3 linked regions of the Saccharomyces cerevisiae S288C genome follow. Changing the gene in region 2 together with the main gene of any one other region gives a genetic interaction. Each region holds a gene or a part of one and is shown on either strand. Other genes may lie near its edges.

Region 1 (3,385 bases), on a different chromosome or scaffold from region 2:
ATCCGGAGCTCCGTGGAATAGGCGAGCGGCTGAGTGGTTCTCCAAGCTACGGTTTTTACGTGTAGCCCCATGTGAGCAAGCCAAACAAGGGCCCTTAAAGGCGTGACTACAAAAAGGGGCGGGTTGGAAGGTCATCTGCAGCGAGATACGAAAAGATTTTTTGCCAGATTTGCGGTTGGGCGGCTATTTCGGTATTGTTGGGGTAACAAACGTTGGGGAAGACTGCATTTTCTTACAGCTTTTTTTCGTTATCGCGGGTTGGGCGGCTATGGCGCCTTCTCCTCTGTACTCCAACCTGTCAGAGACACCAAGCTGTATATAAAGCACCTTGGTTGGATCGTATTTCCCTGAGATCTTGCTATAGGTTCATTTTATATATCGTCCAATAGCAATAACAATACAACAGAAACTACTAGCATCTGTTTATAAGAAAAAGGCAAATAGTCGACAGCTAACACAGATATAACTAAACAACCACAAAACAACTCATATACAAACAAATAATATGTCTGACAAGGAACAAACGAGCGGAAACACAGATTTGGAGAATGCACCAGCAGGATACTATAGTTCCCATGATAACGACGTTAATGGCGTTGCAGAAGATGAACGTCCATCTCATGATTCGTTGGGCAAGATTTACACTGGAGGTGATAACAATGAATATATCTATATTGGGCGTCAAAAGTTTTTGAAGAGCGACTTATACCAAGCCTTTGGTGGTACCTTGAATCCAGGGTTAGCTCCTGCTCCAGTGCACAAATTTGCTAATCCTGCGCCCTTAGGTCTTTCAGCCTTCGCGTTGACGACATTTGTGCTGTCCATGTTCAATGCGAGAGCGCAAGGGATCACTGTTCCTAATGTTGTCGTCGGTTGTGCTATGTTTTATGGTGGTTTGGTGCAATTGATTGCTGGTATTTGGGAGATAGCTTTGGAAAATACTTTTGGTGGTACCGCATTATGTTCTTACGGTGGGTTTTGGTTGAGTTTCGCTGCAATTTACATTCCTTGGTTTGGTATCTTGGAAGCTTACGAAGACAATGAATCTGATTTGAATAATGCTTTAGGATTTTATTTGTTGGGGTGGGCCATCTTTACGTTTGGTTTAACCGTTTGTACCATGAAATCCACTGTTATGTTCTTTTTGTTGTTCTTCTTACTAGCATTAACTTTCCTACTGTTGTCTATTGGTCACTTTGCTAATAGACTTGGTGTCACAAGAGCTGGTGGTGTCCTGGGAGTTGTTGTTGCTTTCATTGCTTGGTACAACGCATATGCAGGTGTTGCTACAAAGCAGAATTCATATGTACTGGCTCGTCCATTCCCATTACCATCTACTGAAAGGGTAATCTTTTAAGAGCACGACCTACTAATAACGAGAACTATTGAAATAAAAAAGAGTAGTTTTTTATTTTTCAATTTTTTAATATGATAATTATTTTATGACTTATATAACCACACCAACTAATCGTACTTTTATATGTTTAAATAGAATGGCTGTTTCAGTCGTACACTATTAATAACATTATGTTACTTCGCAATTAAATGTTTTTCAAAGCTAAAACTTCAAAACAAGATATAAACAATGTACAAAAATGATTACGAAAATATAGATGATGTAAGCAAGGTACGGTTATAAACAGTTAACATATAAGTTTACTTCACTTTTTTGCTGACTCCTTTACTTGTCTTCCCTGCACTTTGATTTTACTTCAGAAAAAATAAGATATATGTTTCTGATAAAACTTTTAGGTTAGCGGAGAAGATGTTGCCACGAATATCATGTAATTGAAAGGCAACGAAAGGTCTATCGTTTGCCATTCATAATGTGATTCGACTTGTCTTTTTCATTGTAACAGACATGAAACGTTTCCTTTACGTCCCTATGAATTTTTGTTGGCTGAACTGGGCGCTGCAGGGGCTGGACGATCCAAATGCGCGGATTTTGAACAATTATGAGAATCCGAATTAAAAGAAAGGGAAAACAAATTTAATAACAGGCAGACGTGAGAGAAGAAAAGGAAACGCTGTGATATAGAAAACTATACAAATCCTATTATAAGAAGCCAGAAGAAAGCTGATACAAGATGAGTTGGGAAGGTTTTAAGAAAGCTATCAACAGAGCTGGTCACAGTGTGATAATTAAGAATGTCGACAAGACCATTGATAAAGAGTATGACATGGAAGAACGTCGTTATAAAGTTCTTCAAAGAGCAGGTGAGGCATTACAAAAGGAAGCCAAAGGTTTCTTGGACTCATTGAGAGCTGTGACAGCATCACAGACTACCATTGCCGAGGTCATCTCTAACCTCTATGACGATTCAAAATATGTTGCTGGTGGTGGTTACAACGTTGGTAACTATTATTTGCAATGTGTTCAAGATTTTGATAGCGAAACTGTTAAGCAATTAGACGGGCCCTTAAGAGAAACCGTACTAGATCCAATAACAAAGTTTTCGACGTATTTCAAAGAAATTGAGGAGGCCATAAAAAAGAGAGACCATAAGAAACAAGACTTCGATGCTGCGAAGGCAAAAGTTCGTAGATTAGTGGACAAACCTGCTAAAGATGCCTCTAAACTGCCAAGGGCTGAAAAAGAATTGAGCTTAGCTAAAGATATTTTCGAAAATCTTAATAACCAATTGAAAACTGAACTACCACAGTTAGTTTCATTAAGAGTACCTTACTTTGACCCAAGTTTTGAAGCTTTAATCAAGATTCAGCTAAGGTTCTGTACTGATGGTTACACTCGTTTAGCGCAGATTCAACAATATTTGGACCAACAATCAAGAGACGACTATGCCAATGGGTTATTAGACACTAAAATCGAAGAACTATTAGGACAAATGACAAGCCTAGATATTTGTGCGCTCGGGATAAAATAAATTAATGCTTTTGCCTTTAGTTTTTTACGGTCATTTATGTTTCTTTCATTTAAATTAACAGACCTAAATAGCACTATAATTTACTATCTGCTCTATCTGACCAACCGACTCTTTTTAAGAAAGCAATTAAAAAGCGATAATAACCGCGGGCATGTGTTTTTGTTAACATGAACACAATAAACGTAAGAATGTCTAGCAATAAATTCAAAATTATTATCTTTTTTTTTTTTATTGTTATGTACTATTTTTTTTTTTAAATAAGGTTACAATTCTTTTTTAATTAATGGGATTTACCAATTTGAACGTGATCCGTAATCAGCCAAACGGGATATAAAAGTAGAACAATAGAAGCGAGGAATAAGATACGAATGCCGGATAACAAAGCATTCCTTAGTGTACTAGATTAAGTAAAAAATACCGAATTGTTCCAAAATATCGTGATATTTGAAAGTGAAGTACTCGTTTATTTCAATGCGCGCCCATTATGGCAGCATTTTATC
Region 2 (5,990 bases):
CAAACAGATTTCGACTTCACTAGATATGCTGTAGAAAACGCCCCAGACGATGTTAGTATTCAATGTCTTGTCCAATCTAGAGAACACTTGATTAAGAGAACGGTGGAAGCATTAACAGGTGCTAAAAAGGCTACTATACATACTTACTTGGCAACAAGTGATATGTTCCGTGAAATTGTTTTTAATATGTCTAGAGAGGAAGCTATTTCCAAGGCAGTAGAGGCCACCAAACTAGTTAGGAAACTAACTAAGGATGACCCTTCCCAACAAGCCACTCGTTGGTCCTATGAGTTTTCCCCCGAATGTTTCAGTGATACTCCAGGTGAATTTGCTGTAGAAATTTGCGAAGCTGTTAAGAAGGCTTGGGAACCTACCGAGGAAAATCCAATCATTTTCAACTTACCTGCTACCGTAGAAGTTGCCTCTCCAAATGTTTATGCTGATCAGATTGAATACTTCGCTACCCATATTACTGAGCGTGAGAAGGTTTGCATCTCTACACATTGTCACAATGACCGTGGTTGCGGTGTCGCCGCCACAGAGTTAGGTATGCTTGCAGGTGCCGACCGTGTAGAAGGATGTCTCTTTGGTAATGGTGAACGTACAGGTAATGTGGACTTGGTTACTGTTGCTATGAATATGTATACCCAAGGTGTTTCTCCTAATTTGGATTTCTCTGACTTGACCTCTGTCCTAGATGTGGTTGAGCGTTGTAATAAGATCCCAGTATCGCAAAGAGCACCATACGGCGGTGACTTGGTCGTTTGTGCCTTTTCCGGTTCTCACCAAGACGCCATTAAGAAGGGTTTCAACTTACAAAACAAGAAGCGTGCTCAAGGTGAAACTCAATGGAGAATCCCATACTTGCCATTGGATCCAAAGGACATTGGCCGTGATTACGAAGCTGTCATCAGAGTCAACTCTCAGTCTGGTAAAGGTGGTGCCGCTTGGGTTATTTTGAGATCTTTGGGTTTGGATCTACCAAGAAACATGCAAATCGAATTTTCTAGCGCCGTTCAAGACCATGCTGACTCCTTGGGTAGAGAACTAAAATCAGATGAGATTTCCAAGTTATTCAAAGAGGCTTACAACTACAATGACGAACAGTACCAAGCTATTAGTTTAGTCAATTATAATGTTGAAAAATTCGGCACTGAACGTAGAGTGTTCACTGGTCAAGTCAAAGTAGGCGACCAGATCGTCGATATTGAAGGTACAGGTAATGGTCCAATCTCTTCTTTGGTCGACGCCCTATCAAACTTGTTGAACGTGAGATTTGCCGTAGCAAACTACACAGAGCATTCTCTAGGTTCTGGTTCTTCTACGCAAGCTGCTTCTTACATCCATCTATCGTATAGGCGTAATGCCGACAACGAAAAGGCCTACAAATGGGGTGTAGGTGTCTCCGAAGATGTCGGTGATTCTTCAGTGAGAGCCATCTTTGCCACCATTAACAATATTATCCATTCTGGTGATGTGTCCATTCCATCTTTGGCCGAGGTCGAAGGTAAGAATGCTGCGGCATCTGGCTCTGCATAAGAACTTTTCTGTATTTCAGGACTTATTCGCTTCTATTTATTTCTATACTTATTTATTTACTTCCTTTCCTTTTTTTTTAACCATATAATTACTAGAAGCACGGATGTCTAAATTAGAATTACGTTTTAATATCTTTTTTTCCATATCTAGGGCTAGTGCTTGTTTTTCTTTTTTTAGTATATTCTTGAACCAAATACGTGTGGGGTGACCCGAAACTTGTTTGGCGGTTAGTGACGAAATTGAAACAAACCTGGAGTTATTAAGAGAGATTTAACTGGAAAACTAGGCATAAAGGACAATAAGTACTCGCTTCATATAGTCTCAACATATTTTTGTTCGCAGAATTGGTGACAAAGGCCACGCAAAGGCAGCAGAATCAAAAACAAATACTCAGTAGCTATGAAAATACTCCTATCGAAACAGCAAACTAGAAAGATAGCAATAGTTTCAGAAACACATGGACTGGTATTTAGGCCAATAAACAGTAAGAACTCTCGCAGATCTACATGTGCCGTGGAATTGGTTCCGAAAGCTGAATTAAATGGTAATGGTTTCAGAAGACTATCTAACCATGAAATATACGGTTTTATTGGTCTCATAGAAATTGAAGGCCTTATGTTCATAGCAACCATAACAGGTAAATCTAAGGTGGCCCAGCCGATCCCAAACAAAACGGTTAACAAAATATATGCTGTGGATTTTTTTTGCTTAAATAATTCTAAATGGGATTTCATGGACATCGATTCATCCGGTTATCCGATTGTTACTAATGATGGAGATTTTGCAATAAGCTCGCCTCCTAGTATTTCCACACATTCTTCTAGATCATCGCTACGTTCTTCTTCCTCTAGGAGTTTGAATGCTCAAGAACAAGCTCCCAAGCATCCATGTCATGAACTAAGAAAGCTATTATCAAATGGATCTTTTTATTACAGCACCGATTTTGATTTAACTTGTACATTGCAGAAACGTGGATTCACGGAACACTCTTTGAGTTTTGATGATTTTGACCGGGAGTTTATGTGGAACTCGTTTCTTATGGACGAAATCATCACATACAGAGACAGACTAGATGTAACGGCCAAAGAACTATTGGATCAACGAGGATTCCTCACGACCGTAATCCGAGGGTTTGCTGAAACAATTTTTAGCTATATTAATAGGTTGAAAGTAGGACTTACCATTATTTCCAGGCAAAGTTGGAAAAGAGCAGGCACAAGGTTTAATGCACGTGGTATAGATGATGATGGCCATGTCGCAAATTTTGTTGAAACAGAAATGATTATGTACTCTTCTCAGTATTGTTATGCTTTCACGCAGATAAGAGGAAGCCTTCCAATTTTTTGGGAGCAGGATACATCTTTGATTAGTCCAAAGATTCAAATTACCAGATCTGTTGAAGCAACACAGCCCACGTTTGATGAACATTTTATAAGACTATTTAAGAAGTATGGGCCAGTTCATATAATCAACCTGCTGTCTACTAAATCTTCAGAAATTCAATTATCGAGGCGATACAAGGAACAGTTGAAAAATTCTGAGAAAATGAAAATCGGTAGAGATGTGTTCCTAACAAGCTTTGATTTCCATAGAGAAACTTCGCAAGATGGGTTTGCAGCTGCAAGTAGGATTATCCCTAAAATAAGAAACACAATTTTGGACGCCGGTTACTTTTCATACGATGTAAAAGAAGGGCGATTAATATCCGAACAAGACGGTGTCTTTAGAACCAATTGCTTGGATTGTTTAGATAGAACAAATTTGATCCAACAGACGATTTCACTGGCCGTTTTCAAACTATTTTTGGAAGACTTCCGATTGGTAAAACCCAGTAGTTTCATCGACGATAATGAATTTGTGCAAAAGGTGAATGCTTTATGGGCCGACAACGGAGATCAGATATCACAAATTTACACTGGGACAAATGCTCTGAAATCGTCCTATTCAAGGAAAGGTAAAATGTCTTTTTCTGGCGCCCTTTCTGATGCGACGAAGTCCGTTAGTAGAATGTACATCAACAATTTTGTAGATAAAGGAAAACAGCAAAATATTGACACACTTTTGGGCAAACTACCGCACCAGCAAGTTGTTGAACTTTATGATCCAATCTGCGAATACGTCAATGAAAGGCTGTTAGAGTCAGAGGAAAAATTCACCACTCATTCTAACATAAATTTGTTTGTCGGTACATTCAATGTTAACGGAAACTCTCGAAGAGCAGATTTGTCAAAATGGTTATTTCCAATCGGCGATAAATTCAAACCTGATGTCGTTGTGTTAGGGTTGCAGGAAGTTATAGAGTTGACCGCAGGGTCTATCTTGAATGCAGATTATACGAAAAGTTCTTTTTGGGAAACTATGGTTACTGACTGTTTGAATCAATACGAAGAAAAATATCTTTTACTTAGAGTGGAACAGATGTCCTCTCTTTTGATACTATTTTTTGCAAGATCAGATAGAGCCTATAACATAAAAGAGGTAGGTGGGTCTACCAAAAAGACTGGGTTTGGTGGTATTACTGGAAACAAAGGTGCAGTAGCCATTAGATTCGATTATGGGGCAACTTCATTCTGTTTCGTTAATACACATTTATCAGCAGGTGCGAGTAACATTGACGAACGTCGCAATGACTACAACAATATCTACAGGAACATAACCTTTCCAAGATCAAAGACAATTCCACACCATGATTCGTTGTTTTGGTTGGGTGACCTTAACTACAGGATAACTTTGACAAATGATGAAGTTAGAAGAGAATTAAGGGCTCAAAAGGATGGCTATATTGATAGATTGCTTCAATATGATCAGTTGACTCAAGAAATAAATGAAGGAGTGGTATTTCAGGGCTTTAAAGAACCGACCCTCCAATTCCGTCCGACCTATAAATATGATTATGGCACAGATAATTATGATACTTCTGAAAAGGCGAGAACTCCGTCTTGGACTGATAGAATCATATATAAAGGTGAAAACCTGCATCCATTGGCATATTCGGACGCACCTTTAAAAATAAGCGATCATAAACCAGTTTATGCTGCATATAGGGCAAATGTGAAATTTGTTGACGAAAAAGAGAAGCTTAACCTAGTTGAGAAGCTGTATGCAGAATATAAGAATACGCATCCCGAAGCACTAACTACAGGTCCTGACGAACTTTCTCATGCAAGAATGGAAAAACAAAAGGAAAGTATACCCTTAGATGCAACCGTTCAATCAGCGGGCATAAAACTAATTGACCTAGATGATACTTCCTCGTGCGTTTCGCCTCTACTTTCTGGTCCCAGTCCCCAACCGTCTGTTGTTGGCCCTGGAGGACTCAGTAACGTATCACCCGATAAAAGTAAGCTCAATGTGCTTCCTCCGCCTCCTCCTACCTCGAGGCACAATAAGGAACCATCTTCTAAACTTCTTTCCCCTACCAAAGAGATTTCCATTGTCAGCGTATCGCCGCGTAAAGGTGAGAGCAATCTTCCTGCCTTAGAGAGACACAGTACACCCAAACCACTGCCGCCAGTGCCCGCTTTATCTTTATCTAAGCCAGTCTCTTTACAGAAAAGTTCTTCAGAATTACAGCATGCTAAAGAGACCATAGATAATGGGAAAATTGTTCCTCGACCTTGTCCTCCTATTAGAAGGAAGAGCAGTACTGCCCCGGACGAAATCTCTACATCTACCAAAAATTCAGGTGTGTCCACTACAGAAGATCCTGAGCCAGCAAAGGCCTCCACAAAACCTGAGAAGCCACCAGTTGTCAAAAAACCGCATTATTTAAGTGTTGCTGCTAACAAGCTTAACACCTCTCAAGAACACTCAATAAAAGTTTCCCCGTCGAATTCAAAATCTGAAGAGGAACTCCCTTGCAAGAAAAAGTCTAAACCAAAAGTTCCTGCGAAGAACCCTGAACTAGAGAAGCTAAGCGTTCATCCATTGAAGCCTTGCGACCCCAATTAAATTGTGTTACTAAAATTACGCATTTATAGAATATGTATCATAACTGTTGTTTAGATGTTTATATGACTCTGCACACATTTCGGTTTTGTGAGCGCCGACCTTTCAAACCATGATCTGTATTACTATGGCTGTTATGAAAATACCGTTGTTCCGGGTGCAGTGATCCTAACTTCCGTTAATGGCTTCTTGTTTTACCAAGTTTTCCAGTTTCTGCTTCAATTCGTCAATTTCCTTGTCAACCTTTTCTATGCCGATCTCTATTCTGTCAATTTCTTCCTGTTCTAATTGCTTGGAGTATACACAATCATCAGTTTTGTTTGAAGGTAACAAATTTCCTGGTCGGCTCATTAAAATTTTGAAAAACTCTTCATTTGGCTCATTGAATACAATTTCATCAAAATACACAGAACTAACTTCTGCATCTTTACTATTATGGTCTGTTGTATTCTGCTCATTTCCATTGTCGGAATTCGGTACAGGATTAGCATAAGGATGAAGTC
Region 3 (3,348 bases), on a different chromosome or scaffold from region 2:
TCTTTTGGAAAAACCGATTGATCTATCATTAAAACCTAACGATCCCGAAGCTGAAAAGGAAGTTATTGATACCGTACTAGAATTGATCCAGAATTCGAAAAACCCTGTTATACTATCGGATGCCTGTGCTTCTAGGCACAACGTTAAAAAAGAAACCCAGAAGTTAATTGATTTGACGCAATTCCCAGCTTTTGTGACACCTCTAGGTAAAGGGTCAATAGATGAACAGCATCCCAGATATGGCGGTGTTTATGTGGGAACGCTGTCCAAACAAGACGTGAAACAGGCCGTTGAGTCGGCTGATTTGATCCTTTCGGTCGGTGCTTTGCTCTCTGATTTTAACACAGGTTCGTTTTCCTACTCCTACAAGACTAAAAATGTAGTGGAGTTTCATTCCGATTACGTAAAGGTGAAGAACGCTACGTTCCTCGGTGTACAAATGAAATTTGCACTACAAAACTTACTGAAGGTTATTCCCGATGTTGTTAAGGGCTACAAGAGCGTTCCCGTACCAACCAAAACTCCCGCAAACAAAGGTGTACCTGCTAGCACGCCCTTGAAACAAGAGTGGTTGTGGAACGAATTGTCCAAATTCTTGCAAGAAGGTGATGTTATCATTTCCGAGACCGGCACGTCTGCCTTCGGTATCAATCAAACTATCTTTCCTAAGGACGCCTACGGTATCTCGCAGGTGTTGTGGGGGTCCATCGGTTTTACAACAGGAGCAACTTTAGGTGCTGCCTTTGCCGCTGAGGAGATTGACCCCAACAAGAGAGTCATCTTATTCATAGGTGACGGGTCTTTGCAGTTAACCGTCCAAGAAATCTCCACCATGATCAGATGGGGGTTAAAGCCGTATCTTTTTGTCCTTAACAACGACGGCTACACTATCGAAAAGCTGATTCATGGGCCTCACGCAGAGTACAACGAAATCCAGACCTGGGATCACCTCGCCCTGTTGCCCGCATTTGGTGCGAAAAAGTACGAAAATCACAAGATCGCCACTACGGGTGAGTGGGATGCCTTAACCACTGATTCAGAGTTCCAGAAAAACTCGGTGATCAGACTAATTGAACTGAAACTGCCCGTCTTTGATGCTCCGGAAAGTTTGATCAAACAAGCGCAATTGACTGCCGCTACAAATGCCAAACAATAAGCCATTAGTAGTGTACTCAAACGAATTATTGTTGCAAATAAATAAACTTACACAGTTTGAATACATAAATCAATCAGACAAATAAATACATCGGTTCAAATTATACTAAATCTAAATACTACGTTATCGCCGTGAATTACGCAATTCGCATGTTACGTACTGCGCGTCTCTTGTTGAATATTTACCAATTGGGAAAAAGAACTCGTATTTCATTCCCCTTTTTGGAAAGGGGTGGGGAGAGACTGTTGTTCAGCCACGTCAATTATTATTTTTTCTTTGGCCCTGCGCTTGTCTTATAAAATTCCGCAGCCGCCTCTTATTTTTTTTTTTTTCGATTTTTGGCCCACAGGTCATATTGCAAAAACCGAATGGCCGCGCCCCCCTCACGCACGGGACGGAAGAAGGGCGGCGTCCCCTGTTTTTCTGCTTTGGCTCATCTCTTTGGCTCCGACGGACGAAAGACGGGATTCCCCCTCCCGTGTCTTTTTATAAATAACAAGTGCTCATTCTGCATCCTTCCTTGTTTCCCGTCGTTTGGGTACAATGCGTTGATTATCCCAACCCAAGAAAGAAAATTTGTCTCACATCTGCATCTGCACATTTATTTACCTATACTTTTCCATTGTTAGCAGTATTGCAAAGTGAAGAATATATCAGCATCAAGTATATAGTATGCACAGAACTTACTCTTTAAGAAATTCCAGGGCACCTACCGCCTCTCAATTACAGAACCCACCGCCACCACCATCTACAACCAAAGGTAGATTCTTTGGGAAGGGTGGTCTAGCTTACAGCTTTAGGAGAAGTGCTGCTGGAGCTTTTGGCCCAGAATTATCCAGAAAGTTGTCTCAATTGGTTAAGATTGAAAAGAATGTTTTGAGGTCCATGGAATTGACAGCCAACGAAAGACGTGACGCTGCTAAGCAATTGTCTATTTGGGGGTTGGAAAACGATGACGATGTTTCCGACATCACTGATAAATTAGGTGTCTTGATCTATGAAGTTAGTGAATTAGACGACCAATTTATCGATCGTTATGACCAATACAGATTGACTCTAAAGTCCATCAGAGATATCGAAGGTTCTGTTCAACCATCTAGAGACCGTAAGGACAAGATCACCGACAAAATCGCCTACTTGAAATACAAAGATCCTCAATCACCTAAGATTGAGGTCTTGGAACAAGAATTGGTGCGTGCTGAGGCTGAATCTTTGGTCGCTGAAGCTCAATTATCTAATATCACAAGGTCAAAGTTGAGAGCTGCTTTCAACTACCAATTTGACTCCATCATCGAACATTCAGAGAAAATTGCTTTAATCGCTGGTTACGGTAAGGCTCTCTTGGAACTATTGGACGACTCTCCTGTCACTCCAGGTGAAACCAGGCCTGCTTACGATGGGTATGAAGCCTCTAAACAAATCATTATTGATGCTGAAAGCGCACTGAATGAATGGACACTAGACTCTGCCCAAGTCAAGCCTACTTTAAGTTTCAAGCAGGATTACGAAGACTTCGAACCTGAAGAAGGCGAAGAAGAGGAAGAGGAAGACGGTCAAGGCAGGTGGTCCGAAGACGAACAAGAAGATGGACAAATTGAAGAACCTGAACAAGAAGAAGAAGGTGCTGTTGAAGAACATGAACAAGTCGGACACCAGCAAAGTGAGTCTCTTCCCCAACAAACAACAGCTTAATCAAAATAAATCAACAATCTATTAGAAACAAAAAAAAAAAAACCAGCAGAAAAGAACAAGTTACCATACTAATTAATCTCTTTTAATTAATGCGTGGACAGATAATCATTTCTGTTCCCTCACTCTGAAAAAATTGTTTTATTTTCCTATTTTTTTTTTCATCTATTATTGTATTTTGCCCTCTCCTCACTCCTTACTTTAGTCTATTATCAATATCTCTTCCCCCTCCTAAATATGTACTCTTTTATTTTTTTTAATTGTGAAGGAACAATTCAAGTTAGAACTCTTTTGATAGGAAACATTATTTCCTGTGTAGCCTAATGTTTAATGCCTAATTTTTTTCTAAAATGCAGCAACATACATATGTTGAGTCGTATAGACATCTATATATAACAAGCACAGAACCGTCTAATTGGTATTTTTCAGGACATTTTAAACATCCGTACAACGAGAACCCATACATTACTTTTTTTAATATTCTTTTTGTTTTCACCGCCTTC

The links. Genes that interact genetically often act in the same process or in processes that back each other up.
Region 1: mutations in INP52 (region 2) and RVS161 impair growth when combined (synthetic growth defect), as found in Saccharomyces cerevisiae (4 studies listed by BioGRID, with this or other methods).
Region 3: mutations in INP52 (region 2) and PIL1 together harm fitness more than expected from each alone (negative genetic interaction), as found in Saccharomyces cerevisiae (7 studies listed by BioGRID, with this or other methods).

Annotation. Positions count from the first base shown.
Region 1 is NC_001135.5:130,245-133,629, reverse strand, and holds RVS161 (amphiphysin-like protein RVS161), read left to right. Parts: upstream 1-2,087; coding exon 2,088-2,885; downstream 2,886-3,385. Other genes in the region: ADY2 (Ady2p), read left to right, coding at 506-1,357; serine/threonine protein kinase SAT4, read right to left, coding at 3,349-3,385. UniProt on the Saccharomyces cerevisiae protein: Component of a cytoskeletal structure that is required for the formation of endocytic vesicles at the plasma membrane level.
Region 2 is NC_001146.8:420,444-426,433, reverse strand, and holds INP52 (phosphatidylinositol-3-/phosphoinositide 5-phosphatase INP52), read left to right. Parts: upstream 1-1,938; coding exon 1,939-5,490; downstream 5,491-5,990. Other genes in the region: 2-isopropylmalate synthase LEU4, read left to right, coding at 1-1,539; YEATS domain-containing protein YAF9, read right to left, coding at 5,656-5,990. UniProt on the Saccharomyces cerevisiae protein: Dephosphorylates a number of phosphatidylinositols (PIs) like phosphatidylinositol 4,5-bisphosphate (PtdIns(4,5)P2), but also phosphatidylinositol 3-phosphate (PtdIns(3)P), phosphatidylinositol 4-phosphate (PtdIns(4)P), and phosphatidylinositol 3,5-bisphosphate (PtdIns(3,5)P2).
Region 3 is NC_001139.9:649,098-652,445, reverse strand, and holds PIL1 (lipid-binding protein PIL1), read left to right. Parts: upstream 1-1,828; coding exon 1,829-2,848; downstream 2,849-3,348. Other genes in the region: PDC6 (indolepyruvate decarboxylase 6), read left to right, coding at 1-1,156. UniProt on the Saccharomyces cerevisiae protein: Negative regulator of cell wall integrity (CWI) in unstressed cells, probably by inhibiting protein kinase PKH1/PHK2 activity and regulating their downstream CWI pathways PKC1-MAP kinase pathway and protein kinase YPK1 pathway.